7 linked regions of the Macaca fascicularis genome follow. The main gene of each other region encodes a partner of the protein of the gene in region 3 in a complex. Links are inferred from orthologs where the notes say so. Each region holds a gene or a part of one and is shown on either strand. Other genes may lie near its edges.

Region 1 (4,120 bases), on a different chromosome or scaffold from region 3:
CATACTGACACAATTCGTATGCACACACAGACACACACACACATCAAAAAGGAGCTTCTGTTTAGATGTGTAACGAACGAGAAAAAATATTACTCAAGATAACATAATTCATATTTTTTTGGTAATAAAGTTAAAATAGTGTAGCTCCAAAAGTAAAAAGAGAAACATATATTGAGCACATGCTTTCAGAAATGTACACACTGCCTACAGTACAGACTCAGATTTACTAGAAAACATATAAAAAGGTGATGCTACTGCAATGATATAAATATGACAAACTGTACACTAGATGACAACTGGTGTCACTACAAAAAAAGATCGCTCTCAGTACTAGATACAACTCAGTTCAATTAGTGAACCCGACGACTAACTTTCTTAACAGTCACAAACTTTTCTACACTACAGTCTATTGCTCCGAAAAGAGGTATCCAAAAAACCCTTCGTAAGAGTAACGATCCCTGAAACTGCCCTTGATAGTTGCTCTGCGAAACATACAGGCACACCGAGTGCGTGCTGGCAAATGCCAAATGAAGGTGAGGGGGTGAAGAAGTAAGTAGGGGGAGTGAGCAGGTATGAGAGCGATAGGCCGGGAAGCGACAAGTCTGTCAACCTTTGCTGTCCCGGGAAGTCGAAACCGAAGTTCCATTCCTGTCTGAAAAAGCCTTCCCGGAACAACAATCGTTCCCTAAATCCAAAGCTACTGGCCACCAAGCTCCAGCCAGACCTCCGTCCCTTTCCAACATCCTTAGTTATACCTGCTTGTCCTCGGATTTACCTGTAAGATTCTTATTCTCCGTATTTCAGGGGACTTCACTTCATAGGCTCTTCGGATCGGTATCACCAGGCTAACTTCTCACAGACCTCTTCCATTCAGAAGCCGGCCCGCCCAGGCCCTCCACATATCCAGGAGCTCTCTCACTCCTAACCACTTCCGATTACTCAGGGTTTCGCTTCCGGAATACGTTTCCAAAAGAGAAGGGTAAATACATTCTGCAGTGCGTTTAAACTCAAGTAACACAGAACACACACTGTAAGGCCTCCGTAAGTGGAAAGCGGACAGATGTCTACTTTAAAATAAAATACTGTACAGCAACTTTTGGAGCCCAAGCCTCAGATTCACTTAAACTTCCGGGCCAGCTGTTAAACAAACGGAAGTAAAACTGCCGGAAACAGAAAAACGGCGTCTCGTAGCCCCAGGCGACAGCGTGGAGGGGCGGGCCTGTCGATTGGATGAACGCAGCTGAGATTACTCCCAGCCACTAAGGACGAAGAGGTGGGGCGGTGGCGTCCCACGCACCGTGCGACAGTGGGCGGTGCTCTGTTGCCTGAGTAACCGGATGATGGTGTTGGTGGTGGTGTCTTCCTGTCTCAACGATACCTATTTTCTAGTGCTGAGATCCTGAGACAATGGTGAGTGCCAGGGGATGTCAGAATAACGGCTGTGGGTCCTAGCTACTTAGCGTTCCAAGTCTTCGGGCGGATGGGCACTTAAAGTTGTCCTGTCCTCCCGACCTTCTCCTCATTATCTCTTTCCCCCTTCCCATGGGCTGTTACTGCAGTTTACTCGCTCTCCGTATTTCTTACAGCACCCTGAATTCCACTGATGCTACTAAGTCTCTAGAGTAATGAAACAGAAAATTCAGGGTAAGGCATCGAGTCTAATCACCTGTTTTGAACAACATTATGTGTTTTCATTGTTCATCGTGGCATTTTTCATGCTCACAGATTCACATTAACGCGCTTTATTAAGAGTGTGGGGTGGTGTGTATGTGACTGTCTCAACACTGATCTGAATCTCCCTAGATCTTGGAGTCCTTTTGCTTTTCTGAGTGGCAGAGCACTGCCCCACGCCCCCACGAGGGCCATTAACAGATGTATGTTGGATCAGCTCTCGTCTGTCCAGTTGCTTACCTTCTAGGTCTGTGCTTGCTTTTCTTTTCTTTCTTCTTCTTCTTCTTTTTTTCTTTCTTTTTTTTTTTTTTTAAACAGAAATTTCTCCTGGGATTGCTTGGAGAGCTTCTGCAATTCACTGTTTGGACTTCACCCCTGGAAATTCTGAATGAAAGGAATGGGGCTTGGTATTTGCATTTTAAATAAACCTGTAGGTGATTTTAATTCACCCACATGTTTGAGAGTACCAGGGTTCTAGTTAATTCACTTAACTATCGTGTCTTTTAAGCACTTATGGATAATGGACTGGAAGATAGAAAGATCTTTAGATAGTTATAGCTACGAATTTAGAAACAGAGCCCCCACCCATCACCCCTTGTTTCTTCATACTACTCAGCAATCCTTTTGGTTACCCCAGTTTTCCCCTGCCCCATTTTCTGTAAAGACATTTTCAAACCTTCCATTTATAAACCCTGTCTTTTGCCCTTCTCATTTCTCCTTTCTAAACATGATGGAGTATAACAATTCTTCAACCTCATGCCCCCAACCTACACACTGATCTATATTTTTGCCAAGCCTTTAGTCTTGTATTTCTAGTGTAGAGAAAGGGATATTAAAGGATAATCCATCCATCTTTGCTTTTGATCTCATTTGCTTCCATCTGTTACATTTCGCTTCCAGTTGTCTTTTTTCTTTCCTGTGCTTTCAGCCTCTTCCTCTTCAGTTCCTTCTACTCAGTGCTCAAGTCACACATCTTATGAAAATTAAATAAAGCAAAACCATGTCATCCATCCTGTGTTTATCCAGTTATTTCCCAGTCCTCCTATCTATCAGTAAACTTATTGAAAGGATATTATTTTTACTTATATCAAACAGACAAAAGTCTTTTGTCTGGCTTCTTTAATGCCTTCAAGAAAGTTGTTCTTGCTTAAGTTTCTAAAGGCCTTTTAAATGCCAAATACAGTAATTACTTCTCAAAATTTATATCGCTTAGTCTGTTTGTGACAACTGAGGTTCATAGTCATTAATTCCTTTTACTGGCTGTGCCTGGTTTTTGAATGTCATTCTTTGGAATTCACTCCTTAATTACTTTCATTTCTTAGTCTAGACATTTTCCTTGGGTGATTTTGTCCACTCACATGGATTCTATTAACACCTTTGATTTTGCTTCTAAATTTCAATTTTTCTCTCAGATCTACTAATGCCTAACTCAGTTGCTTCCCGGACACATCTGTCTCAAAGGTCCCTCAAACTTAATATGACCAAAACTGAACTTGCTATCTTTCCTCCTGGTTTCTCCTATTTTCACCAAGTTAAATACTGCTACTACTATATTGTAACCTAAACTAGAAATCAGAGTTATCCTACATTCCTCCCTTTCCTATTTCTCCCATATTCAGTTGGTCACTAGATCAAATTTTAGTTTGTCATCTCCTCATTTCTTGATTATTTTAATAGTGACTTTTACAGTCTGGTCTGGAAATTCTCCAATCCATTATTTTCTCTGCCACAAGAAGGAATTTTTAAAAACCCAGCCTGTTGATTTACTCACCTCCTTAAAACTCTAGAATCCCCATTTCCTACAGTAAAATGTCTAGAGTGGCACACAAATTCCTCCATGAACAAGCACTTCTCTGTCTAGCTTTTGCCTTTCCTTTTCCATACCTTTTTTTTTTTTTTTTTTATAAAAAATTATCTTGCCTTTTAGCTACTTGCTTTTCATTGAACATACCAAGCAACTTCAAACTGGTAGTATGCCTCCTCTTTCTACTTTGCACTTGCAATTCCTTCTGCACAGAATACCTGCACCCTCTTGTTGCTTGCCAAACTCTTATTTATTCTCCTGTTACAGGCCAACGTGTTCTTCTTGCCCGCTTCCCAGAAAGGCCAAACATCGAGAATGCAGGAGTTGCAGCAGAGAAAGAGTTTAATGGAGGCAAGGCAGCTGAGTGGCAGGATAGGAGATATTTCTAAAATCCACCTCTCTGACAGCTTGGAGGTTGTGGTTTTTAGGGATAATTTTGTGGGCAGGTGGGTAGGGAGTGGGTGCTGCTGATTGGTTGGGGATGAATTTATAGGTGTTTCCAAACTGTCTTCCTGTGCTGAGTCAGTTGTCTAGGTGAGAGTCATAGGACTAGTAGAGTCAGTTTCTTGGTATGAGTCATGTATCTGGGTGGCATCAGGAGGTTTGCCAGAATGCAGAAGCCTGAAAAATATATCAAGACCAATC
Region 2 (4,297 bases), on a different chromosome or scaffold from region 3:
CAGGTCCTGGGCTCAGGTGATCCACCCGCTTCAGCCTCCCAAAGTGCTGGGATTACAGGCATGAGCCACTGTGCCTAGTCAATATTTTCAATTTGTGATGTCCTGATAAACCCACTGTAAGTTGAGAAGTATCCGTACCTAAAGATAGCATCGGATCCCACAGAGTGAAGGCTCAGTCCCACAAGACTCTCCCACTTCCAATGCCAATACAAGCTTCAGGTTGTTTTATCTGTGCCTCTGACCAACCGGCTATAAATTGGGGTTCTCAGGACTGCTCCTTGGGTTCAATTAATTTGTTAGAGTAGCTCGCAGAACTCAAGGAGACACCCACTTACGTTTACCCGTTTGTTATAAAGGATATTTTAAAGGATACAAATAAACAGCCAGATGAAGAGATACCGAGGGGAAGCTCTGGAAGGTTCCGGCGCACAGGAGCTGCTGCCCTGTGGTGCTGGGTTTGCAGCCTCCCGGCCTGTGGATGTGTTCTTGTTCACCTTCCTGGAAGCCCCCGAACTCAGTCCTTTTGGATTTTTATGGAGGCTTCATTACACAGGCATGACTGATTAAATCATTGACAATTGGTGCTCTACTCAATCTTCATCCCTCTCCCTTCCCCAGAGGTGAGGGATGGGCCTGTAAATTCCAACCCTCAGAGCACCAGGTTTGTTCCCCTGGCAACCAACACCCCATCCAGTGGCTATCTGGGACTTTCCAAAAAATCGCCTCTTTAACATAAGCTCAGGTTTGGTTGAAATGCACTTGTTCCTCCTTAGTACAGCGGTTAGTAAAATTAACTAATTAAAATAAAATGAAAGATTAATCTAAAAGAAAGGGGCTTGTTATAAATAACAAAAGACTGTCTTTCACCTTTATCACTCTGGAGCTGTTCTGGAGCTGTTTCAGAAACCAAGGACGAAAGGTCAAATATTGTAACAAAACATACTCTTATTGCTCTAGTCCCTTAGGAAATTACATGGGTTATAAGAGTTGTAAGCCAGGAACACATCGCGCCCAGCATGGGGAGAGACGGAGAGGCAGTCTCCAAGGATCTGGGGGAAGACTTCGGCATGGCTCATTCCCCATTCCCAAAACGCCCATGTCTCAAAGCTTCCTCTTACGCATCCAGGCTGAGGCTCCTTGGGAAGGTTTGGAGCTGGAGAAGCTGAGTGACTCATGCCTAAGGGGCCAGTGCCATTCAGATTTATGACTTCCTTAAGAACAAAGATTATATTTTATTCACCTCAATATCCCACATCTGATGCTCCATAAATGGGTTTTGAATTGAATTGCTCCCCTCACATCACCTATCCAGGCCACCTCCTGACGTTTCCCCAGCACTCTTCAGCCTCCCTGCCCATTCCTTCCCCCACTCCATAACTTCACCTCTAAACTGTCACTTCCATCTGCTTCTCGGTCTATGATATCAAAGATGTCTTCATGAATTTTCTCACCCTGTATAGAGACATGGAAAGGGAGGGTCAGGCCAAAGGTTCCAGAGCGCATCTTTTCTCAGTACAGCACTGTCTACCCTGGAATACTGTTGCCACCCTGAAGCAAAGCCTAGGCTGTAGCCCTCAACCCAGAAGTGCTACTATTGCAAATGATTTGCACAAAATTTGCATAAACCTCTCCCTGGCTGTCCCTCTTGTTTGGGGAATCCTTTTGTCTCTTATTTTCTGGCAGTCTGGTCAAATTCCTAGTAGCTTGAGCCTCCCTTGCCTCTGGATGGGACTATCAAAGGTCTCTGGAATAGTCGCCCGGACACCTGGGAGAATCCACTGGCCCAGTTGTTGCCAGCTCCTCCTCCATGCTCCGACAGGTAGATGTTCTCTGGGTTGTAGAGCTTGGCATAGGGGGAGTTGAGGATGGAGTGGATCACCCGGGGCTCCAGGTCCAGCAGCACGGCCCGGGGGATGTAGTGCTCATCGTCTGCCTGTCAAGGGGAGTCCAGGAGGGGGCCCAATCAGCTAGGGTGGCCCAAGTCCTAAGTCCTCCCAACTCTGGCTCCCTCCAGCCCTCCCTCCTCAAGCCAGCCGCCTGGCCCCACTGCCCAGCAGGGTTCCCAGTACCAGGCCACTCCCTTCCCTTCTGGCCCCTCGGGCCATTGCCGCCCTTGGCCAAGTCGCTGGGGGCACCTGGTAGAAAAAGACGTCCTTGCGGTCAGTGCCTTCGGTGGCGAACTCCTCCACGATGCCCTCGGGGCTGATACCATGCTCAGCGCACAGCTGTTTCCAGAACTCGAACCCAACTGGGGGAGGGGGGAGATGCCCGGGTCTGCTGGAGCCTTAAGGCCTGAGGAGCCCAGTTTTAGTCTCAGAGGCCGACACGATCAGAGGGTGGACCCAAGATGCCTGGGTCTGGTGGCTGCCCCAGTCCCGGGCTGGGAGCGCAGCTCTCGGTCTGGGTTATCCAGAGCAGCAGGCTAGGGGGTTCATGGAAGGGGAAGGGGGACTGGTGGAAGCCAGGCACTTGGGTGGGACCCAAAGGGGCAGAACCAGAGACCGGTGGGGGCGGCGCTCGCTTGCTCACTCTGGTTGCCGCACTGGCCCAGCTGCAGGGTGATGATCTCCCGGGGCATCGCTCTTCAGACGTGGGCGCCCCAGCCCCGGCCTGGCGAGAGTCACGGCTGAGACGAATGCCTGGCAGCCAGGCGCGCAGGACGTGGGGAGCGCGCGCTCTCTTCGCCTCTTGACGCGGATGCTCGGTCTGCGCGTGTGCAGCGCAGGCCTCTCCTCGGCCGGTGGGCCGTGGAGCCCAACCTGGGCATCATTTTCTTCCTCAGCAGTCGCAGCTGGAATTCGGCACAAGCGCACAGTCAGGCCACGCCTGCTCCTGCCCACCGCTCCGCGCCTGCGCAGTGAGACTTGTTAGGGGTGGCAGGGTCGGAACATGGATGTGTGGGGGAGGGGAGGGGAGCGGAGGGGAGGGGAGGGGAGACGCGGGAAGGGGAAGGGAGGGGAGACGCGGGAAGGGGAAGGGAGGGGAGGGTAGGGGCGAAGCGACCAGGTGGACGTGCTTGTCCACGTGTAAGGAGTCACCTACCTATATTGGTAGGTGAGGACTCTGCCAGCTTTGCTAGGTCCAAGGGCTAGAAGCCAGCTTTTCTTCGTTTAAATTTCTATGTTTCAATGGTGTTACAATACATACACATGTATGTTACCTTTTCATTTTTTATTTTTTAGAAGTGTCTCGCTCTGTCGCCCAGGCTGGAGTGCAGTGGTAAGATCATAGCTCACTGTAGCCTCGAACTTCTGGCTTAAGTGATCCTCCCACTTCAGCCTCCCGAGTAGCTGGGACTACAGGCGTGTGCTACCACGCCCAGGTAATTTTTAAATTTTTAAAATGTATTTTTATAAAGATGAGGATCTCACCGTGTTGCCCAGGATGGTCTTGAACTCCTGACCTCAATCAATCCTCCTACCTCGGCCTCCCAAAATGCTGGAATTACAGGCATGAGCCACCACTCCTGGCCAAAATTTACCACTGTAACCATTTGTAATTACTGCATACAGTTCTGTGGCATCAAGTACACTCACATTGCTCTGTAACCGTCACCACCATTCTTTTCTAGAACTTTCTCATCTTCCCAAACTGAAACTCTATAGCGATTAAACAGTAACTTCCCCTTGACTACTCTAGGCACCTGATATGAGTAGAATTATACAGTATTTGTCTTTTTGGGTCTGGCTGCTTTCACTTAATATCTTCAAGATCCTTCCATTTTGTAGCATGTGTCAGAATTTCCTTCCGTTTTACAACTGAATAATATTACGTTGTATAGATGTACCACATTTTGCATAACCATTCATCCCTCCATGGACATTTGGGTTGCTTCCACCCTTTGGCTGTTGTGAATGTTGCTGCTTTGAATGTGAGTGTACAGATATCTGTTCGAGTCTCTGCTTTCAATTATTTTGGATATACACCCACAGATAGAATTGCTGGATCCTATGGTAATTCTGTTTAATGTTCTGAGGAATCGCCATATGATTTTCCATGGTAGCTGCAGCGATTTTATATTCCCACCAGCGATGCACAAGGGTTCAATTATATAGGAGGCTATTGGTTTGCACTGAGCTCCTGTGCTAGGCCCAACAGACCAAACCAAAATGGAGTCACTCATGCTAAAGTTCCATGTCACTAAGCAACACTAAGTTGTTTATCAAACCTTCAGAGGAATCAGGAGAGAGAAGGAACAGCCAAAACCCCAAACAGGCCAGTTTTAGCCGGCATGATACGGAAGTCCTTTCTTCTTTAACCTTTACAAGACAAGTAACTTTGAAATGACCAATCTACT
Region 3 (3,500 bases):
CTCAGGGCTGCCACATTCTGCTCCTCTGCCTGGAAGGTCGCCTCTCCCACTGCTCCCAACGCCCAACTCCTCACTCTTCCTCGTCTGACAGCACTTGCCAGTAGCTCCCCAGCCTGGTTGCTCAGTAACCAGCTTGTGTGTACCAGAAGCCACATCCCTAGGGACCCTGTGTGCCAATTAGGCAGGAGCCACCAGGCCTGGAGGGCCTGGATGGGGCCAGCTGTGGTAGGCCCATGGGAGACACACCCACTCTGCCTGGCACCTGGTGAACTCGGCCAGCCAAGGGCCATCCAGTCACCTGCTGAGGGCTGTTCTCAAAGGCCCTCCTTGCCAGGAAGCAGAGCAAACCCTCCATCACCCAGCAAGCTCCATGCCACTCCTGCAAAGTCCCCTGCTCAGTCGCCATGCTGAGGCTCACCTGAGCTGCCGGCCCAGTTTCTTGAAGAGAAAACCAATGGTGAGGAGGCTCAGGGTGGGCGAAGTGGAAAGGACGCAGGCCCGGTAATACTGCAGGTACCTCCTCAGGCCACTGGTGAAGGCCTGTGGGCAAAGAGGCTGGGAGGAGGGTGGCCAAGCACATGGACGCAGCTGTGACCAGGGCCTGAGGGGCACCAGTACTGGGCACAGCGCTTTGTTTCCTGCCTCAGCTCTGGGCTCCATTTCCAAGCAATGGGCCTCTGTGAGCCACGTCCCACCACTGGACCAGGTGGAAATGTGGCCCGTCCACAAGAAGCCAGAAGCTGTGGCCCCCCCACCAACCCTTCCTCTCATCTGAGACCAGCTGCCCCAGGGGCGTGGCATAGGGGTTGAGGGGTGAGGGGGGAAATGGCGGCTGCGCTCTGTGCACAGACACTAGTGCTGTGAGAGCTGCGTCTGCTCGGACCACAGTGGTCTCAGTGGCACCAGCATCCTGGGCAATGCCACAGCAGCAGGCCCTGCAGGTCACACCAAGACAGGCGCACCCTGGACCAATCTCAGTCCACCCACCCCAGAACCCGCCTGGCCACGCCTGCCAGATGAGTGGGAACCACAGTCCAGCCCTTCTCAGTGTCCCTGCTCTGCCCCCTTCTCCACCATCTGCAGCCCTCAAGTCCCCCAGGGCTGAGCCTCTGCCTAGAAGCTCTCCCCGTCCCATGCAGCTCCCACCATGTCCACCTCCGCAGCCCGTCTAAAACCTAAACCTCACCACATCACCCCACCCTACAGCCCCTGCTGTGGCAGCAACAGTTGAAGGAGGCTGCGCCACCTGGCTCCTCCAGTGCTCTCTGCCCACCTTCCGAACACCCTCCTCTCAGCCCCCAAATTACTGATCATCCGCCTGCCTATTCTCTCCCAGTCAAGGTGCAGCCTCTGTCCCATGGGTCTCTACTCAGCATATGAGCCAGCTTCAAGACTCACCAAAGAGCGGCTTCCGGAGCCAGACTTGGCTCAGAACGCCCAGCAATGTAAATTCACCCAACACGAGGGCCAGGCAGCGTCAGTCATCCGCAATGTGCCGGGCCCACTGGGGAGCAGGCGGCAAGAGCCCCACTAACGCCTTTCCTGCCTCGCATGCCCCGAATGCTGGCTGCACCTGCCTCCCACACACCCCAGGGCCCACACGCATCTGCCCCAGGTTTCCAGTGAGGTAAAACATCTTCACTGACCCATCCCTCACAAGCCACTATTGGGTTTCAGATGTTAGCAAGGAAAGAAAAGGTTTAGACTGTCTGGTCCTGCAGAAGGACTTCTGAGATTCTCTTTTCCAGGTCGTGTGCACCGTTCTCACAAGGATGTGTGACAGCCACGAGGCAGAGGCCGTACCTGGAACACGAGGCCCTTGCTGTACGAAGAGTCCAGGACCGGCTGCAGAGAGAAGTGACTCAGGCGCGTGTAGCAGGTCCCATACTCGGCCACCTCCGAGAGCAGGCTGCTGATGCTCTCGGGAGACGCTCCCGACACGTGGACACCCCGCTTCACCACAAAGGCCTGGGCCGGCTGCACAGGGGTAGAGGACACTGCTCAGAGGCCAGGCACCCAGACCCCCAGGAAGGTGCCATCTCCTTCCACCCTTGCACCCAACCCCACACCACCTAGAGTGCCCCCAGGACCCAAAAGCAAACGCCCAGAAGGCGCACCCAGAACTCCTACACTGAGGGACAAAAACGTACAAACCAAAACAAGGCACAAATTCTCACCACACTGAAAAATACATGTTTAAAATGCCAAGTGTAGAAAAGGGTAGGAAACAACAGAACACCTTCCACAGGACACAAGTACACAGACAGCCTCCTAGGGCAGAAGCTATAAAACATGTTTGCCGTGAGACCCGCTCATTCAACTCTTCGGGATGAAAGAGCGGAAACGATGGAAGATGCACAAAGACTTGCCACAGCACATTCCCCGCAATGTGTTTGTAACCAGAGAGTGGAGACCCCCAGTAGAGGGCTCATGACAACCGAAACGAACGGGGTGCAGCAGAAGCCAGGAGGGAGGTTACAGCTGCAAATACGCACGTTAGAAAGGAAAAGAGATATCCCACATTACAAGGAAACAAGATACTAAATCACAACAGCACTGTGTATATCCTAAAGAGATATTTTAAAAAGAGCTGTTAGGCCAAGCACAGTGGCTCACACATATAATCCCAGCACTTTGGGAGGCTGAGGCAGGAGGATCACTTGAGCCCAGGAGTCTGAGACCAGCCTGGGCAACATAGCGAGACCCCCATCTCTACAAAAATTTTAAGTTAGGCCAGGCATGGTGGCTTACGCCTGTAATCCCAGCACTTCAGGAGGCCGAGGCGGGTGCATCACTTCAGGTCAGGAGTTCGTGATAAGCCTGGCCAACATGGCAAAGCCCCGTCTCTACTAAAAACACAAAAATTAGCCGGGCATGGTGGTGTGCACCTGTACTCCCAGCTACTCAGGAGGCTGAGGCAAGAGAATCGTTGAATGTGGGAGGCAGAGGTTGCAGTGAGCTGAGATTGTGCCACTGCACTCCAGCCTAGGCGACAGAGTGAGACTCCGTCTCAAAAAAAAAAACAAAAAACACACAGACATCTCTAGGCTGGGTGTGGTGGCTCTTGCCTCTAATTCCCGCACTTTGGGAGGCCCAGGCCGGCGCATCACGAGGTCAGGAGATCAAGACCATCCTGGCCAACATGATGAAACCCTGTCTCTACTAAAAATACAAAAAGTTAGCTGGGCGTGGTGCTGCACACCTGTAGTCCCAGCTACTCAGGAGGCTGAGGCAGAAGAATCATTGAATGTGGGAGGTGGAGGTTGCAGCGAGCTGAGATGGCGCCACTGCACTCCAGCCTGGGCAACAGAGCAAGACTCCGTCTCAAAAAAAAAAAAAACAAAAAAAATTTAAAATTAGCTGGGTGTGGTGGTGCAGGCCTGCTGGTCCCAGCTACTCAGGAGGCTGCAGCAGGAGGATCAATTTGAGCACAGGAGGTTGAGGCTGCAGTGAGTCATGTTTGAACCACTGCACTCCAGCCTGGGTGATCCTGTCTCAAA
Region 4 (3,500 bases), on a different chromosome or scaffold from region 3:
AATAGTCCCCTAAACCAAAGATACTAACATTGAATATGAAAAAAGAGTAAAGAGGTGTGAGAGATGTTTAGAAGGTGGAATCGATAGGCCTAGTGAGTGCTTGGAAATGAGTCAAGAGGGAAGAGTCATTGATGATACCCAGGTTTCTGCCTTCAGCAACTGGGCAAGTAGTCATGATAGGGGTGTATACTGCTGGTATGCGGGGAAGAAGATGGGTCTAATGGCGGGCATGTTGAGTTTGAGGAACTTGTGGGAAATGTTCAGTGGGCTGAACCTGGGGCTCATGAGAGCACTCCAGCTTGCTCCAAATCTACCTATGGAATCATCAGCATGGAGCTTGGAGATTTTTAATCTGGGGCCCTTGGGTGGCTTCAGAAGGTTCATGAAATGTGATATTTCTGTACATTTGTCTGGAAGGTCCATAGCTTTTATGATTGCAGAGAAGTCTGTGACCTAAAAATTAGAACTATCTGTTCCACTGATCAGTCACAGAAGATGATGTGATTGTATAAGAAGTGTAGGCTGAGAGGAAAAGACAGTCTGGGACAGTGCCCTGAGGAGGACCAGCAGAGCAGACAGAGAGAGAAGACCTGGAAAACAAAAAAGACCACCTCTTTCATTATATAAGTAAGGAAGCTGGTCAACTGTGCAAGTGTTTACTCAGTAGTAAAGGCAGAGTGAAGGCCCAAGTCGCAGTATTTAAAAAGCCACTCTTACTTCCACCATGCCACTCTGCTGCCTGAAGATGAAATACGTCTCTCCAAAACGGGTGGTTCGAGAACTGTGCAACACCAGATTTGAAGTCCCTGCATCTTTACTTTAAATCATGGGTTGGGAGAGTTACTAGATATTTTCTTGTTTTCCTTTTCTTGCTTCGTACTTCATCTTGATGTGTACTCTTTCCTTGACTAGCGCCTGATTGAGGAAGAGAACATGCTGGCACCATCTCTGAAGCAGTTTTCCCTACGAGTGGAGATTTTGCCATCCTACATTCCAGTGAGGGTTGCTGAAAAAATCCTATTTGTTGGAGAATCTGTCCAGATGTTTGAGAATCAAAATGTGAACCTGACTAGAAAAGGTAGAAATCTCCTTGTCCAATGTACCGCACCCTCAAAAGCTCTTCTTCCTTAACACTGTGTGGCCCCCCAGCATGCCTGGTCAGAGCTGAGTGGTCGATAATATTCCTATCCTGAGATTGTAGCAGAATCATGACATTTGTCTGAGAAGCAGGTGAAGTTGCTGCCCCACCGAGATCAGCCCTCCCTAGAAAACCCTGACTGTCCTGGGTATTCTCTGTCCTCCTTTGATGGTGCCTTCCTATTTTGCAGGATCCATTTTGAAAAACCAGGAAGACACTTTTGCTGCAGAGCTGCACCGTCTCAAGCAGCAGCCGCTCTTCAGCTTGGTGGACTTTGAACAGGTGGTGGATCGCATTCGCAGCACTGTGGCTGAGGTTTGTGTTTCGTCATATATGTGTGTGTATATATATAATATATATATATATTTTTCTTTTTTTAGAAAAAAATTAGACTAGTTCCCTAGAAATTGAGTTACTTGGTCAGGCACGGTGGCTCATGCCTGTAGTCTCAACACTTTGGGAGGCCAAGGCAAGTGGATCACCTGAGGTCAGGAGTTCAAGACCAGCCTGGCCAACATGGTGAAACCCCGTCTCTACTAAAAATACAAAAATTAGTCGGGTGTGGTGGCAGGCGCCTGTAATCCCAGCTACTTAGGAGGCTGAGGCAGGAGAATCGCTTGAACCTGGGAGGCAGAGGTTGCTGTCAGCTGAGATCACGCCATTGCACTCCAGCCTGTGCAACAGAGCAAGACTCTGTCTCAAAAAAAAAAAAAAAAAAAAAGAAAGAAAGAAATTGAGTTACTTGACTTTTGTTTTTTTCTTGATGTGGTAAGAACTGAGCTTGGAAAGAGCTGTTGCAGAGAGTTGAAGGCAGGAAGCAGAAAAAGAAAAGCCTCAGTTTTCATTAACAGAGGCAGAACTGCCTTCCCATTTTCCTATCTAACTAAAAAACAGGTGGTTTTTAGTTGGTTAGTTAGTTGAATAAAGGGGAGGTCTTGGTTTAAATTTTGAAAATCGCATTTTGGATCTGTCTCTATCGTTTGCAATAACTCCTAGGAATCAACTAATTCTGACTAAATTTAGTGTCTTTCTTGTAGTTTAGTATGGCTTATAACTTGTACTTTCATTTAAATACACAATCATGAGGAAAGCAGAACAAATATCATTTTCTCATTCTTATAAATGGAGCAAACACTCAGCACACTGACTTGTCTGGCTTGTCTGGTGTGGCACAGTGAGTTGCCATAGTGAAGTCAGTGCCAGGCCTCCAACTCCTGGAGCGCAGTCTTCCTCATTTTGAATTGTGCTGCTGCCACCGACTTAAATTGTGACCAGTAAGTTTTCAAAGGAGCATATATGTTCTGTGGCTTATATTAACATTTGTCTCATGGATGTGTGATAACATGAAATGAGACATTTAGTCAACTGCGTTGTTAACTATATTCATGGGTTTCAACATTGGCTAAGCATAGGATCGCATGAGAAAATTTTAGTTTTTATTTTTATTTTTTTTATGGAGTCTTGTTCTGTTGCCCAGGCTGGAGTGCAATGGCGTGATCTCGGCTCACTGAAACCTCCACCTCCCAGGTTCAAGCAATTCTCCTGCCTTAGCCCCCCAAGTAGCTGAGATTACAGGCACATATCACCACGCCCTACTAATTTTTGTATTTTTAGTAGAGATGGGGTTTCACCATGTTGGCCAGGCTGGTCTGAAACTTGTGAGCTCAAGTGATCCTCCCACCTCAGCCTCCCAAAGTTCTGGGATTACAGGCATGAGCCACCACGCCTGGCCCGCGTGAGGAAATTTTAAAACCTGCACTTGCACCAAGTCCTTACTTCCAGACCTTCTGATTCGTAGGTCAGTAGAGGGTCAGTACTTTTGTTTTGTTTTGTTTTCGAGACAGGGTCTTGCTTTGTCGCCCAGGCTGGAGTGCAGTGGAGTGATCATGGCTCACTACAACCTCCGCCTCCCAGGTTGAAGCAATTCATGTGCCTCAGCCTCCTGAGTAGCTGGGACTGCAGGCCTGCACCAGCATGCTTGGCAAACTTTTTTGTATTTTAATAGAGATGGGGGTTTCGCCATGTTGGCCAGGCTAGTCTTGAACTTTTGGGCTCGAGCGATCCTTCTGCCTTGGCCTCCTAAAGTGCTGAGACTACAGGTGTGAGCTACCACGCCCAGTAGGAACTTCTATTTAAGCAAGCCAGTCCATCCACCAAAGACAAACCTCTACAGGGGATTCTGAAAATAGAACTAAAAAGCAGTGCACTTCGCTCAGTGTCTGGAACTGCTAAGAGCATCAACTCTCCATGGGTTGGAAGCATAATAATCTATTATAAATATGGTTTCCCTTTCTAGTCACTGTCTCAAAAACTCCTGGTCATCACAGATAGAACTGTGTTGTAGACACAGAATGTTCAGTCT
Region 5 (4,119 bases), on a different chromosome or scaffold from region 3:
AGGAGTTCGAGATCAGCCTGGCCAACATGGTGAAACCCTGTGTCTACTAAAAATACAAAAATTAGCCAGGCATGGTGGCGGGCGCCTATAATCCCAGTTACTCCAGAGACTGAGGCAGGAGAATTGGGTCCTATCCCCAGCTTGAACCTGGGAGGCAGAGGTTGCAGTAAGCCAAGATCACGCCACTACACTCCAGCCAGACTCAGTCTCAAAAAAAAAAGTAAGTGTTATGATAAAGACTCTCGTAAGGAATAACTATCAAAATTAAAATTCAGATGCATAGGATGATTTGAGAGGAAAACAAAAATTAAAGTATAAAGCAATCAACAGAGAATACCTAACATATCAAAAAACTGAAAAGCAAAGGAGGCAACCATACCCAGTGGGTTGGGCGGGGGGTGTTGTTGAAAAGGCACGACTATTTTAAGAGAATGCAGAATTTTAAGGATATAAGGATGAAAGCAAAGATCTCATGCAGACCGTATTCTAAATAGGCAGGGATAGTTCTTTTCAGAGTGAGCTACACAGATAACTGATTAATACAAAGTCAGCCTGCTGCCTCCCATGTCTTTAACAAAATCCTTCCATTTCATGATCAAAACGCAAATGTAGCCAAGAGTTCTGCAATTCATATGACTTAAAGGGGGGTTCACAAATCCTGCCATTGAGGGGAGAAATGGTACTCAAAGTTTTGAAAATTTCACTTTTGATCTCACGGGTTGATTTAAATACTGTGAAACACCACATCCCCTCTCCTTCATTTTTTGTTTTACTTCACTTTTTCATGTTCTTATTCTCTCTATAATCTTCATTTTACACCAGGTTTTCTCAGAAAAGATCTTGATGATGTAGCCAACACAAATCATCAGTTCTCAATTGTACATCAGTGGTTCCACCGAGAGAAAATATGAGTTTTCTATTCAAATAGGATCCTACGACCATATACATAAGGAACCTAAGTACAGCTAACATAAGAAAACAGGCTAGAAGTGAGGTCTTATACTCTACCTTTTTCCAAGGAAACATACAAGATAGTAAATTTTTATACACACAGACACACACACACACATACACATGCATAAATTCACTTACAAAATAAAACTAGTAAGTGTTGATACATCGAAAAGGATAGAAAAATAGGCTGAATATTAACATTCTCAGAAAAACAGCAAGGTAGATACTGAACAAGTGAAAAATTAGATGCAAAGTCTCTAAAAATGTAATTCTTTGAAAAGGAACGAGCAGCCAGTGCAGAAAAAGCCAGCAGCCCTTCTGCAGGGGCTATGTAAGAAAATGAGGCCGGGGGTGGTGGCTCACACCTGTAATCCTAGCACTTTGGGAGCCCAGGTGGGTGGATCACCTGAAGTCAAGAGTTCGAGACCAACCTGGCCAACATGGTGAAACTCCGTCTCTACTAAAAATAAAAAAAAATTAGCCGGGTGTGGTAGCGGACACCTGTAATCCCAGCTACTCCGGAGGCTGAGGCTGGGAAGAGTTGCCTGAACACAGGAGGCGGAGGTTGCAGTGAGCTGAGGTTGCGCCACTGCACTCCAGCCTGGGCAACCACAGCATGACTCCATCTCAAAAAAAAAAAAAAAAAAAAAAAAAAGCCTACAGTGAAGGAGAAAGAGATACAGGAGTGAGAATTTCATAGGGTTATCTTTTAACAGAGAGGGAAGCTGACTTAAGTAGCCTCTGGAAAACGTCTAGGCCCACTGCAAATGACATTTAACATCGATCAAACACTCATAATACAGGTGGATGTGAGTAAAAAGGAGACAAAGGAGACTACAAGAGAGATGACATCGGAAATAATATAAAAATAATTGATCATCTTTGATATATTTTTACATGGTTGTCTTATTTAAATATTCACAACTCTCGGAGGCAGGATTTTATTTTAAACAAACAGGCTCAATGTTTAAGTATCTAGTCCAAGCTCACCACAGGGTTATAAAGTGGCATTAGAGAGTAGAGAGAAGGTAACCGGCAAGACACTAATTTCGTGTTCTGCAACGCTTGTGTAGGCTCCAGGGCTTGTGTAGGCTCCAGAGCTTGTGTAGGCTCCAGGGCCGAAAACAGGCGACACCCATAGCACTTGGGCACTGGCGTCACCCGCTTCAAGAGGAAACTAGGATAATTCTGACGAAGGGGGGAACTTAATCATTCGCAGGATATTAAAGGCCGCCTACTTAAGTGCGAAGAACACGAGGCATAGCGGTGACCAAACACCTGGCCCCTGTCCCCGCCAGGATCCCAACCTTGGGGACCCCCGAAGCGCCCTGCGCGGGAATCCGGTGGGACGCGGCGCGCAGGAGGGAACGGGTGTACTGGGTGGGGTGGGCGTGGCGCTGTCACCGCAGGAGATCGGGCGGGTAGGGCGGACCTGGGACGCGGGATAGAAGGGGCGCGGCATTCGCGCGAGAAGGACGCGGTGCGCAACCGGCTGACTAGGGGGCCGCAACGTCTGGCGCGCGCGACAAACTACGCAGCGGCGGAGACAACTCTCAAGGGATAGGGCCATCAGTCCTGCGGCCCTGGCAGGTCCCTTCCAAAGATCTTCGAAGATGCCGTTTGGGGCACGAAGGGGACCTGAAGTCCTCCCCAGGCTCAGCTCCGCCTGGGGGCCTTGGCTCTGGGAAGGCAGGCAAGGTAAAAGGAGCGCAACTGACACTCACCGTCCATGGTCTCCCGCACCGCATTCAGATTCGCCCCCGCGGCCGCCGCCGCCCCCCCAGCGCCGCTGCTACTCGCCATGGCTAAGGCCGAGGGAGGCGTGAGAAGGGCCTGACCCGGAACTGGAGCGCCTTCCTCTCTCCCGGGCAATCACACGGCGCGTCTCCGCTCACGCCGGGCAGGCTCCGCCCCTCGCGCTCGCCGCCGGCGTGAGGCTGCGTTGATTTGAATTTGGAGCCTCGTTCCTCTGCGCGGAACGTGGAGCGAGGAGTTGCTATTCGAATTTTCTACGCGGCCTCCGTGCAATTGGTTGGTTCGCGGATGGCGGGACGACGCGATTGGCCAGTCGCTCACAAGCCCCGTGCCCTGGTTGGCCCAAGACAGCGCGGAAGCGGGGAGTTAAAGAGTCTGTGCCTGACGTGGAAGCTGGCTTGGCCCCCGGGAGCTCCCTGTAGTCGGTATTGGGGGCTTCGTTTTCTACGCACCGGTAGGTAGGTTTTTTATGGTCCCTGACCTTTCCTCCTGTCTGAATGGAGAGGTTTCTTTTCCCAGCTCCTGACTTGCCTGCCCGCTGGACCCTGGTGAATGGGAGCAGTCAGGGAGTAGGTGTGGAAGACAGGGGCACCAGAAAGAGTGGCCACGTAGGGTGGGGGGCGACGCCTCCTCGGCGCTCCGTCCGAGGAAGCCGGCTGCATCTCAACCTTACAGAAGTAGACTCTTCTCCACCCCACCCCGCCAAGTTGTAGCCTCCTTTGATTGGAAATAATGCAGAGTCGCTTTCTATCCTGGGAGGGCTGAGGGGGAGGTCTTGGCGAAAGGAGGATTTTTGGAGGAAAGGGGACTCAAGGCAGTTAATTTCCTAGCCCCTGTCAATCATACTTCTCTGGCTAGGACTCATGTGTAAGAAAGGCACAAGCTTCTGCATCTCTTACCTGCTTGCTACAAAGAATTGTTTAATAGCAACTGTAGTTGGATGGGGTATCCGAAGAATGTTCATAGTGTTGAGACGTGAGATGATGAATTTTAAAAAAATTGTAGCTATAAGTCCTTTAGTTGAGAAGAGATTTGTGCCTGTTGTAACCTTTAGATCTGAATTCATATTTGATTGCTGCGTATAAGCCACTTCACGTCTCTGAGCTTGTTAATTCTTTCACAGAATAATATCACTAATAACTTACTGCTATAGCTTTCAAGGTTATTTCGAGGATCAGTTGAGAACATTTATATGTGATACTTTTTTCATAAGCTGTATCATAGCCCCAAGAGTGTTAGGTTTTGAGTTGTTTTTGTGACACATTTGTCGAATACATTTTAATAGGTAAAATTAATATCTATGGGACTTTGTAATTTTAACATATGTACTCTTGATTTCTCTTTAGTTTTCTCTCTGTGCTATGGGAGATGTCAAGGAATCTAAAATGCAAATAACACCAGAAACTCCAG
Region 6 (4,122 bases), on a different chromosome or scaffold from region 3:
CTGGGCGACAGAGTGAGACTCCGTCTCAAAAAAATTAAAAAATTAAAAAAAAAAATTCAACAAAATTCAACATCCTCTCATGAGAAAAATCCTGAACAAACTGTCCATAGAAAGAACATTACTTCAACACAATAAATGTCTTATAAAATAAACTCACAGCTAGTATTACACTAAATGGGAAAAAAACTGAAAGCCTTTTCTCTGATCTGGAACAAAACAAGGATACTCATTTTCACCACTTATTCAACATAGTACTCAAAGTTTTAACCAGAGCAATTGGACCACAGAAAGAAACAAAAAGCATGCATATTAGAAAGAAAGTCAAACTGTCGTTGTTTGTAGATGATGTGACTTTATATTTAAACAAACCCAAAGATTCGTCCAAAAAACTGTTAGCACTCATAAATGAATTCAGTAAAGTTCCAGGACACCGCCGGGTGCGGTGGCTCATGCCTGTAATCCCAACACTTTGGGAGGCTGAGGTGGATGGATCACTTGAGGTCAGGAGTTGAGACCAGCCTGGCCAACATGGCGAAACCCCGTCCCTACTAAAAAATTCAAAAATTAGCCTGGCGTGGTGGCACACGCCATTTGTGGTTATGAAGTCCCCCAGAACCTCTGGCCAGGTGTGGTTGTGAAGTCCTCCCAGCACCTCTGGCCAGGTGTGGTTGTGATGTCCCCCAAGCAGCTCTGGCCAAGTGGGGTTATGAAGTCCCCATTCCCAGTACCTTCGGCCAGGTGGGGTTATGAAGTCCCCCCAACCGCCCCTGAGGAGCAGGCGGAGTAAAAGCGAGCCGGGACTGCTAGCCGGTCGGGACCGCTGCTTCGCTGATGCTGGTTGTGTAGCACGGATGTGCGTAGCGTGATTGTGTTGTGTGGATGGGGGCACTGAGATCCGCGGGGACCATCACTGCAAGGAGAAGCTGCATGGCCGGGAGAGTTCAGCAGCTGAGCGGGTCAGGGTTCCTGGAAAGGCAGGTCCCAACGCATTTCCCGACCGGGCACCTAACGGGCTGCTCTCAAAAGCACTGACTATCACCGAGGCTGGCCAGAGACCCTTAAGTATCTAATTCACGATGACACCAACTAACTCTGAGTACAGTAGAAAATGCACAGTCGGGCGACCAGAATATGCACACTCGAGCCGCCACCATGGGACTGCTCCAGGCAGTACCCACCACAGCAGGAGCTCGAACTGTCGCGAGAATAACTGCCAGCTTGCTAGTTGCCCGGCACGGGAAGGCGAACTCTCGCGAGAAGGCCGCCAGCTTCGGGGGCAACTGCCGCGGGACCTCGAACTCTCGCGCGACAGCAACCAATTCGTTAGAAGCGCGTTGCAGGCGCGCGAAACATGGCGCGGCACGGGCCGCCGTTGAGCTGGCTGGACGCGCAGCAGGAGCGCGACGTGCGGGAGCTCGTCCGGGGTGTCGCCGGCCTCCCGGACGAAGCAGACCCCAACTTCCAGCTCGCCCTAAACTTCGCCTGGTCCAACTTCAGGTGTGGGGCGCGGCGCGCGAGCGGGTCCCGGGACACAGCCCGGAGCCCGCGCGTGGGTCCGGCGCAGCCCGGGGTCGGGGTGCGCTGGGGCGGGGCATGGGGCTGAGGCGGACGCGGTCTCAGAGAGCCCTCGCAGGCCCTGCCGCCGCCCACTCCCCCCGGCCAGCGCCCTCGGCGCGGTGCTCTGCGCACCCCACGGTGTGTTACCTGGAACGCGTCCTGATCGTCACGGGGGGAAGCGCGGAACTGGGTTTCTTGCCACCGGGGCGCGCTCCTGCAACCCAGCGCTCTGGGAGGCCGCAGGCGGGACTCGAGGCCAGCCTGGGCAACGTAGCAACTCCATCTCTATAATTTTTTATTTTATTTTATTTTATTTTAATTAAAGAGATTGTATTCTCACTGACTCCTGCTCCCTGGTCAGCCCAGTGTAAGGTCTCTCTCACCCTGCTCTCCTTTTTACAAAACGCGTGTCATGACATTGATTTTACCTGTTATGACTGTCTCCTCCGCTTCCACTCCAACTAGAATGCTGCATCTCTGCACAGCGCCTGACAACGTAGCAGGCTTAGTCAGCTAATGCAATTTCTAATGCAGTTTCTCTTGTAACTAGTTTTTAAAGACTTACAGAATTTAGATGTATACGTGGAGTGAGATCTATTTTTCTTTATGGGAGAGGGAAATTAAACAATACTTTTATAGTCATTACCCATAATGAAATTACTAAGAGAATGTTAATGTTAATATTCTACCTGTTTAATTTCAGTAAAAATCTTGAATAATGAACAGTTTTTTAAAATCCGTAATTTTAGTTACTTTAATGATCATAGTCATAAAGTGTCTAGTTGGCTTATAATAGGAATACGGGGCTTTCATATTCTTTTAAAGCATGCCGAGTTTCCGAAGTAATAAACTGAATTCTTAAATGTGACTTACAAAAATAAACAATGTGTGAAATAGGTTATACAACACAAAAACTTAAATGCTGAAATTCAAGTTTTTTTTACTAATATTTCTAAATGACAGTAGGCAGATGGTCATCATTTTAGAGGTGGGAGAGACATTAGAGGTTACTGTTTCCATTCACAGGTTTCAGGAACTAAATTATAATAGGTAAAGTGGTGTACCATTCACCCATTTACTGGACTAGATTCATGTGTTTCTCAGTATTGTAATTTTTTTCTTTTAAGTACAGATTGCTGGCTTTGATACTAAAAAATGGGAAACAATTTTTGCATAGGCTATGTTATATACATATACATTAGTTGCATAGGCTATGCTATAATTTTATGATGCTTTAAACCATCAGAAAAATGAATAGTTCATGTTTACATTGTTGAAAATTGTGGCCATTGGCCGGGCGCGGTGGCTCAAGCCTGTAATCCCAGCACTTTGGGAGGCCGAGACGGGCGGATCACGAGGTCAGGAGATCGAGACCATCCTGGCTAACACGGTGAAACCCCGTCTCTACTACAAAATACAAAAAAACTAGCCGGGCGAGGTGGCGGGCGCCTGTAGTCCCAGCTACTCGGGAGGCTGAGGCAGGAGAATGGCGTGAACCCGGGAGGCGGAGCTTGCAGTGAGCCGAGATCGCGCCACTGCACTCCAGCCTGGGCGACAGAGCGAGACTCCGTCTCAAAAAAAAAAAAAAAAAAAAAAAAAAAATTGTGGCCATTTAGAATTCTAGGCCCTAGAAATTCAAAGATGAGTAAGATATAGCCTCTGTCTTTAAAAAAAGACAGAGATAAAAGGGATTTTAACCTTGGGATCTGGAGATATAATTCAGATATTTGTTAATTTGGATGAGGAAAAAATTATACTAATCTCTAACTGAAAAGTAGCATCTCCTTCCATTATAAATGAAGGCAGCAAACCATAGTAGTATTAGCCTACCTGTGACTTTATCGCCAGTAGAATTCACATACTGTTTTCACATCAGAGTTGTAGATATTTGTAAATGTTGTTTACTGTTACTTTAATGGTAGTTATTGTACCTACTGCTAAATCTTGTTATTTAATACTTTCATAAATAACATTTCTTGCCATATCATAAACTTCTTGAAATATTTGACAACTGTACCCCAGTATAATTGGATTCCTTTGTATTTCGTTTTTGGCATTTAAAAACATTATTCAGAGAAGGGATCCTTAGGCTTCAGTGGGCCTCACTATAGCATAAAAAGATTGGGACCACCTGATGTAGAATGTGTTCAGCTGGATTTAGATACAGGGTCTTATGGGAAGACAGAGGAGCCAGAGCCAAGGTTGGGAGGGTCAGGAAGCACCTGTGTGCTGGAGAACGGTTGCTTGCACAGTCTCGGACATGGTGATTATTTGCCTGTCTTGGTGGAGGTAACTGAAGACAAGGTACACTCCATTCTGGAAGTGTGTAGCTGAGTACAGAGCATATGGGGGATGTGGAGGGCCATGAGATGAGTTCACTTACCTGTGTGACAGAGTTGGCATAAGAATTGCATTTTGTCTTTATTAGATTTCATCGTTTCTTGGATGTGAACAGCCACAAAATAGAAAAAACAATAGAAGGGTAAGTCAGTGTATGTATGTACACATCCTAAAATACATGTATTTTCTTATAGATCTTTTTAAGATAGCTTTATAATCATTGTT
Region 7 (3,977 bases), on a different chromosome or scaffold from region 3:
GCGTTAGTGAGGGGGGTTTCTTGTATGTCTGTCCTAGGAGACAGCTGGTCAGATAAGATGATGCAGTCATGCAGCGTTTCAGCTGAAGGTGGGGGAGAGGCTGGCAGAATGTAGATGACATCTGGACACTGTAGTATGGGGCTGAGAGAATAACTTCATAAGAAGCCAGTTACTAACTGATCGTGTTGAGTGTGGTGCAGGTTTAGAAGCGCTTCCACAGAATGTGGATCGAAAGCAGTGAGGGGTGATGGCATCCTTGGTGCTCTGGTTGCTCTTGCAGAGCTGTGATGGTTGTTGCTTCATGCAAGGAGGCAGTCCTTTAGCTGCAGGGTCTAGTTGTTGACTGTAATATCCTACAAGTCTGCTTTGTCTCCATGTTTTTGAGTCAGAACGCCAACAAATGTTTTACTTGCTAACAATTCTGCAACCAGAGCTGGACCCAGGCCCGACGGGCTTTGCAGACAGTCACATGTGTGGCTGGCCTCAGCTGGGATGTTGGGATAGCTGGATTGTCCTCCCTCTTCCATTTCATGGGATCTCGGGATCTCTTTCCATCATTTTTCCTTCAGGAAGTTGGCCTTTTAACATGGTAGCTCACGGCTCCCAAGCGTGCACCCATGTGTAAGCTTTAACGATTGCACTGAAGATGGCTTGGTGTAATTGTCCGCTTATCGATCTTTTTCTCGGCAGGTCTTCTCCTGTTCTCTCACTCCGTACGTGATTGATTTATTTTCCCAGGACGTCCCAGTCACCCGGACCTGGGGGAGCGGCCTGCGCGGCGGTGTGAGGTCGGGCCTGAGCAGGGCGCCTGCTGGAGAGTAGCAGGTGACTTGCCACACCGCATAACCCCCTGCACCCTTTAAACAGGCTTCTTTCATCAGAAGCGTGAATCAAACCAATACCGTTAACACACACGCCCCCATATAAACACACCAAATTATGGCCTTTAAGGTGCTACCGGCCACCAAGTGCTCTCCAAGGAAGCCCGTGACGCTCGCGACTCCAGGGCCGCTCTGTCCGCGAAGCTCGAGGGCCTCGGGCCACCTGTCGCCCGGAACTTTCCCGGCCGGACGGGCAGCAGCCGGGGGAATACTCAGGGCAGGGCCGGGAACGCTTAGGCAGCCGCACGCGCGGTCGCGGCGCAGGGAAGAAGCGGGGCATTGTGGGAAGCGCCCGCGCTTTCGGCGGGTTCCGTTAAAATGGCGCCCTGGTGGCCGGCGGCGCCCGCGCCTTAGCCTGTCGGGAGCCGGGAGCTTGAGGGGCGCAGGGAGGGCGCGGGCCGCAGTCCCTGCGCTTGCGGCGGCGGTGGCGGCTCTGCCCAGACCCCCGCGCACAGTCCCGGGCAAGGATGGCGACCCCGGACCAGAAGTCGCCGAACGTTCTGCTGCAGAACCTGTGCTGCAGGATCCTGGGCAGGAGCGAAGGTAGAGGGGCCGGGCGACGCGGGGCCTGCAGACCCACCCCGGGGGCCACTCCCTGCGCGTGCAGCCCTAATACGTCCCGGGGCTGGAGGAACGAGGATGCAGGGCCGGGGCAGAGGGCTGGGGACGGGCCGAGGACGTGGGGCCCGGACGAGGGAGCGGAGGGCTGGGTTCCGGGGTTAGGGAGCCGGGGAGGAGAGCGGAGGGTTGGGGCTCGGGGGTCAGGGAGCCAGGGAGGAGAGCGGAGGGCTGGGGGCCGGGACCGGGACGGAGGGAGTGGAGAGCCCGAGGCCGGGGCCAGAGCGCGGGGCCGGGAGGCGGGAGGGCGGAGCCCGGGCCGGAGCGGGCTGAGTCACCGCTCACTCCGCGCGCGGGTCCGTCAGTGAGGATGGGAGGAATGCCAGCTCGCCAATTTATCCCGGTTCTCTGGTGTCACACGCCAGGGGAGGGCGCCTCTGCGTGCCTTTGGGTTCATGCTGTGTGGGGTGGAGAGAGCGGCTGCGCAGCGGAGGAGCGTGCGGGGTGCTGGAGAGTCACATCATCGTCCCTTTTCATTAGGAAAGTTTAACAGGCTTGAGCATTATGGGAATGGGGTGTTAACGATTATCTGCCATATTTTCTACTGTTTAAAGGGTTGAGGGTTGGATTTGATATAAAACTATTCTGGGAAAGTTCACATGGCGAATATTGTTACTAATAAGCTAAACTAATCCTATACAGTAGGCAAAACCATTTTGTAGCCGAGGTACTTTGAAAGAAATGGTACAGGATGCCATTTCTTGCTCCGTGTTTTGGCCAGGTTGGTGGGGGAGAGAGTGAGTATGCACCGTGAGGGAGTTTTCTGAGTAATGGAAGCAAGTGTGTTACGTCTTAAGGACCAAAATGTGGAAAAGAAGTTATTCAGTTTTTGAAGGAAGACTTCAAAGTTACATTTAAAGTACTGGGAATGCATTTTGACTTTTTATGCTTCATGACAATTACTGCGTGTAATTCATTGGATGTTCTATGATAATCTTTGGGCAATCATGAATTATTTTGTGTTACTATTAAATGAGTGACTTCACACAATTCTTGCTACATTTTGTAAAGTTTCATTTTATCTCTTTATTTATCTAAGAAATCTTTGAGAACAACCCCGTCCTCAAAGTTCCTCCCAGGAACTATGCTAAGTGCTGGTGATGCAGATGCACAAGTCATTCCTCCCACAGATCTGACACTCTAGTGGAAGAGACAGATGATAAACCAGCCATGTTAATTAGCAATAAGTACTGTGGTGAAAAAGTACGGTAAAGGAATAGAGAGAGGCAGATCACGAGGTCAGGAGATGGAGACCATCCTGGCTAACACAGTGAAACCCAGTCTCTACTAAAAATACAAAAAATTAGCCGGGCGTGGTGGCGGGCGCCTGTAGTCCCAGCTACTCGGGAGGCTGAGGCAGGAGAACGGTGCGAACCCTGGAGGTGGGGCGTGCAGTGAGCTGAGATTGCGCCACTGCACTCCAGCTTGGGCGACAGCGAGACTCCGCCTCAAAAAAAAAAAAAAAAAGAAAGAAATAGAAGAGACAGGTGAGGGAAAGCCTCTGAAATATTTACAGAGACCTGAATGGAGTAAGGGAGGGCCGTTTGAACATCTGGGGAAGGTTCTGAGTAGAGAGAACCAACGAAAAGGCCTTGAGTTATGAGCATGGCCTGTCCTCCTTTGTTTTTGTCATTAGCACACTGAGTTTCCTTTCTCATGTTTCATGTTCCTCGTCATAGGGGGAATCAGATAAAACTAAGATTGATAGGACTTATCCAACTTAATGTCAGTGTTTCCCTTGTACCAGTGGTTCCAGAGTTTTTTGTTCTAGGGATAAACCACACATTCATACATTCCCATTGTCATAATTGGATTTTGAAAGTCATTCATCGTGAGCTAAAATGGTATTTCTCAACTTAAAGACTTTTGAGACAGAGTCTCATTCTGTCGCTCAAGCTACCGTGCAATGGCGCTATCTCGGCTCACTGCCAGCTCCGCCTCCCGGGTTCACGCAGTTCTCGTGCCTCATCCTCCAGAGTAGCTGGGACTACAGGCGCCCACTACTACGCCCGGTTAATTTTTTGTATTTTTAGTAGAGATGGGGTTTCGCCGTGTTAGCCAGAATGGTCTCGGTCTCCTGACCTCGTGATCGTCCTGCCTCGGCCTCCCAAAGTGCTGGGATTACAGGCGTGAGCCACCACCGTGCCCGGCCAAAAACGTTTTTTTTTTTTTTTTTTTTTTAAACATTGAAGATTCTTTGATATAAAAGTTTTGCCCCTTCTAAGAGATTGAAAAGCTTCTTTTCAGCAAAATTCTGTATCCTACTGTCTTCCCATTTAGAATTGTGTCTAAATTAAAAGTGGGCTCTCAAATCCTGGCAGGGTCCTCTCTGAATTATTTATTTATTTATTAGAGACGGAGTCTTGCTCTGTCACCTAGGCTGGAGTGCAGTGGCCTGATCTTGGCTCACTGCAACCTCTGCCTCCTGGATTCAAGTCAGTCTCCTGCCTCAGTCCCCGAGTAGCTGGGATTACAGGA

The links.
Region 1: TUBGCP6 (region 3) and NME7 share a complex: the UniProt entries of both Homo sapiens proteins name them as parts of the gamma-tubulin ring complex. The link is inferred for Macaca fascicularis from reciprocal best matches to the Homo sapiens genes TUBGCP6 and NME7.
Region 2: TUBGCP6 (region 3) and tubulin gamma-2 chain share a complex: the UniProt entries of both Homo sapiens proteins name them as parts of the gamma-tubulin ring complex. The link is inferred for Macaca fascicularis from reciprocal best matches to the Homo sapiens genes TUBGCP6 and TUBG2.
Region 4: the proteins of TUBGCP6 (region 3) and TUBGCP4 are in contact, whole or in part, in a cryo-EM structure (PDB 7QJE), measured with the Homo sapiens proteins. The link is inferred for Macaca fascicularis from reciprocal best matches to the Homo sapiens genes TUBGCP6 and TUBGCP4. Residues at the interface, in NP_065194.3 of Homo sapiens: Leu312, Thr313, Ala315, Gly316, Arg317, Ala319, Phe320, Phe323, Leu326, His327, Glu349, Pro390, Glu391, Ser392, Ser395, Leu396, Glu399, Tyr403, Ser455, Leu456, Leu457, Thr458, Gly460, Phe461, Lys464, Lys465, Arg468, Arg471, Tyr472, Glu475; in NP_001273343.1 of Homo sapiens: Met1, Ile2, His3, Glu4, Leu6, Leu7, Ser10, Gly11, Tyr12, Pro13, Gly14, Ser15, Ile16, Gln29, Phe31, Pro32, Phe33, Leu34, His35, Pro36, Glu38, Thr56, Ile59, Glu60, Thr63, Val66, Gln67, Gln68, Ile84, Arg87.
Region 5: the proteins of TUBGCP6 (region 3) and MZT1 are in contact, whole or in part, in a crystal structure (PDB 6M33), measured with the Homo sapiens proteins. The link is inferred for Macaca fascicularis from reciprocal best matches to the Homo sapiens genes TUBGCP6 and MZT1. Residues at the interface, in NP_065194.3 of Homo sapiens: Met1, Ala2, Ile4, Leu7, Phe8, Asp10, Leu11, Cys12, Ala14, Leu15, Pro17, Ala33, Leu37, Val40, Ala41, Ala44, Leu45, Asn48, Ile70, Leu73, Lys85, Arg88, Leu89, Leu92, Val93, Glu95, Leu96, Leu104, Leu105, Ser109; in NP_001065243.1 of Homo sapiens: Asn17, Ala20, Val21, Thr24, Val27, Leu28, Glu30, Ile31, Ser32, Ile34, Leu35, Asn36, Thr37, Leu39, Glu42, Thr43, Leu44, Ile46, Cys47, Arg49, Leu50, Cys51, Glu52, Gln53, Ile55, Asn56, Pro57, Glu58, Ala59, Leu60.
Region 6: the proteins of TUBGCP6 (region 3) and TUBGCP5 are in contact, whole or in part, in a cryo-EM structure (PDB 7QJE), measured with the Homo sapiens proteins. The link is inferred for Macaca fascicularis from reciprocal best matches to the Homo sapiens genes TUBGCP6 and TUBGCP5. Residues at the interface, in NP_065194.3 of Homo sapiens: Glu290, Ala291, Ser292, Lys293, Arg294, Arg295, Cys296, Trp297, Glu298, Arg299, Val300, Gly301, Cys302, Pro303, Pro304, His306, Arg307, Glu308, Glu309, Pro310, Tyr311, Leu312, Glu314, Lys322, Arg325, Leu326; in NP_443135.3 of Homo sapiens: Asp211, Asp212, Arg213, Trp215, Leu216, His219, Val220, Val221, His222, Trp225, Ser230, Phe232, Pro233, His234, Leu238, His239, Ser240, Asn241, Leu242, Leu264, Val265, Thr266, Glu267, Thr268, Gln269, Arg272, Val302, Thr303, His304, Leu305.
Region 7: the proteins of TUBGCP6 (region 3) and TUBGCP3 are in contact, whole or in part, in a cryo-EM structure (PDB 6X0U), measured with the Homo sapiens proteins. The link is inferred for Macaca fascicularis from reciprocal best matches to the Homo sapiens genes TUBGCP6 and TUBGCP3. Residues at the interface, in NP_065194.3 of Homo sapiens: Pro65, Arg67, Asn68, Leu71, Met72, Ser74, Phe75, Asp76, Arg78, Asp87, Glu90, Asp151; in NP_006313.1 of Homo sapiens: Pro9, Asn10, Val11, Leu13, Gln14, Glu25, Ala26, Ala29, Gln30, Phe32, Gln33, Val36, Arg37, Ile39, Gly40, Ser41, Phe43, Thr129.

What each region holds. Positions count from the first base shown.
Region 1 is NC_088375.1:26,996,340-27,000,459, reverse strand, and holds the start of NME7 (nucleoside diphosphate kinase homolog 7), read left to right. Parts: upstream 1-1,320; 5' UTR 1,321-1,407; coding exon 1,408-1,410; intron 1,411-1,586; exon of another isoform or gene 1,587-1,644; intron 1,645-4,120. UniProt on the Homo sapiens protein: Possesses an intrinsic kinase activity. Displays 3'-5' exonuclease activity with a preference for single-stranded DNA. Does not seem to have nucleoside diphosphate kinase activity.
Region 2 is NC_088390.1:63,716,598-63,720,894, reverse strand, and holds the start of tubulin gamma-2 chain, read right to left. Parts: upstream 2,801-4,297; 5' UTR 2,579-2,800; coding exon 2,530-2,578; intron 2,249-2,529; coding exon 2,136-2,248; intron 1,934-2,135; coding exon 1,766-1,933; intron 1,453-1,765; coding exon 1,384-1,452; intron 895-1,383; coding exon 868-894; intron 521-867; exon of another isoform or gene 139-520; intron 1-138. UniProt on the Homo sapiens protein: Tubulin is the major constituent of microtubules, protein filaments consisting of alpha- and beta-tubulin heterodimers. Gamma-tubulin is a key component of the gamma-tubulin ring complex (gTuRC) which mediates microtubule nucleation.
Region 3 is NC_088384.1:1,327,137-1,330,636, reverse strand, and holds part of TUBGCP6 (gamma-tubulin complex component 6), read right to left. Parts: intron 2,504-3,500; exon of another isoform or gene 1,978-2,503; coding exon 1,804-1,977; exon of another isoform or gene 1,749-1,803; intron 1,628-1,748; exon of another isoform or gene 541-1,627; coding exon 419-540; intron 1-418. UniProt on the Homo sapiens protein: Component of the gamma-tubulin ring complex (gTuRC) which mediates microtubule nucleation.
Region 4 is NC_088381.1:19,972,732-19,976,231, forward strand, and holds part of TUBGCP4 (gamma-tubulin complex component 4), read left to right. Parts: intron 1-912; coding exon 913-1,078; intron 1,079-1,328; coding exon 1,329-1,453; intron 1,454-3,500. UniProt on the Homo sapiens protein: Component of the gamma-tubulin ring complex (gTuRC) which mediates microtubule nucleation.
Region 5 is NC_088391.1:63,681,607-63,685,725, forward strand, and holds the start of MZT1 (mitotic-spindle organizing protein 1), read right to left. Parts: upstream 2,801-4,119; 5' UTR 2,758-2,800; coding exon 2,679-2,757; intron 1-2,678. Other genes in the region: BORA (protein aurora borealis), read left to right, coding at 4,071-4,119. UniProt on the Homo sapiens protein: Required for the recruitment and the assembly of the gamma-tubulin ring complex (gTuRC) at the centrosome.
Region 6 is NC_088381.1:447,444-451,565, forward strand, and holds the start of TUBGCP5 (gamma-tubulin complex component 5), read left to right. Parts: upstream 1-1,322; 5' UTR 1,323-1,351; coding exon 1,352-1,497; intron 1,498-3,985; coding exon 3,986-4,039; intron 4,040-4,122. UniProt on the Homo sapiens protein: Component of the gamma-tubulin ring complex (gTuRC) which mediates microtubule nucleation.
Region 7 is NC_088391.1:103,021,299-103,025,275, reverse strand, and holds the start of TUBGCP3 (gamma-tubulin complex component 3), read left to right. Parts: upstream 1-1,177; 5' UTR 1,178-1,348; coding exon 1,349-1,424; intron 1,425-3,977. UniProt on the Homo sapiens protein: Component of the gamma-tubulin ring complex (gTuRC) which mediates microtubule nucleation.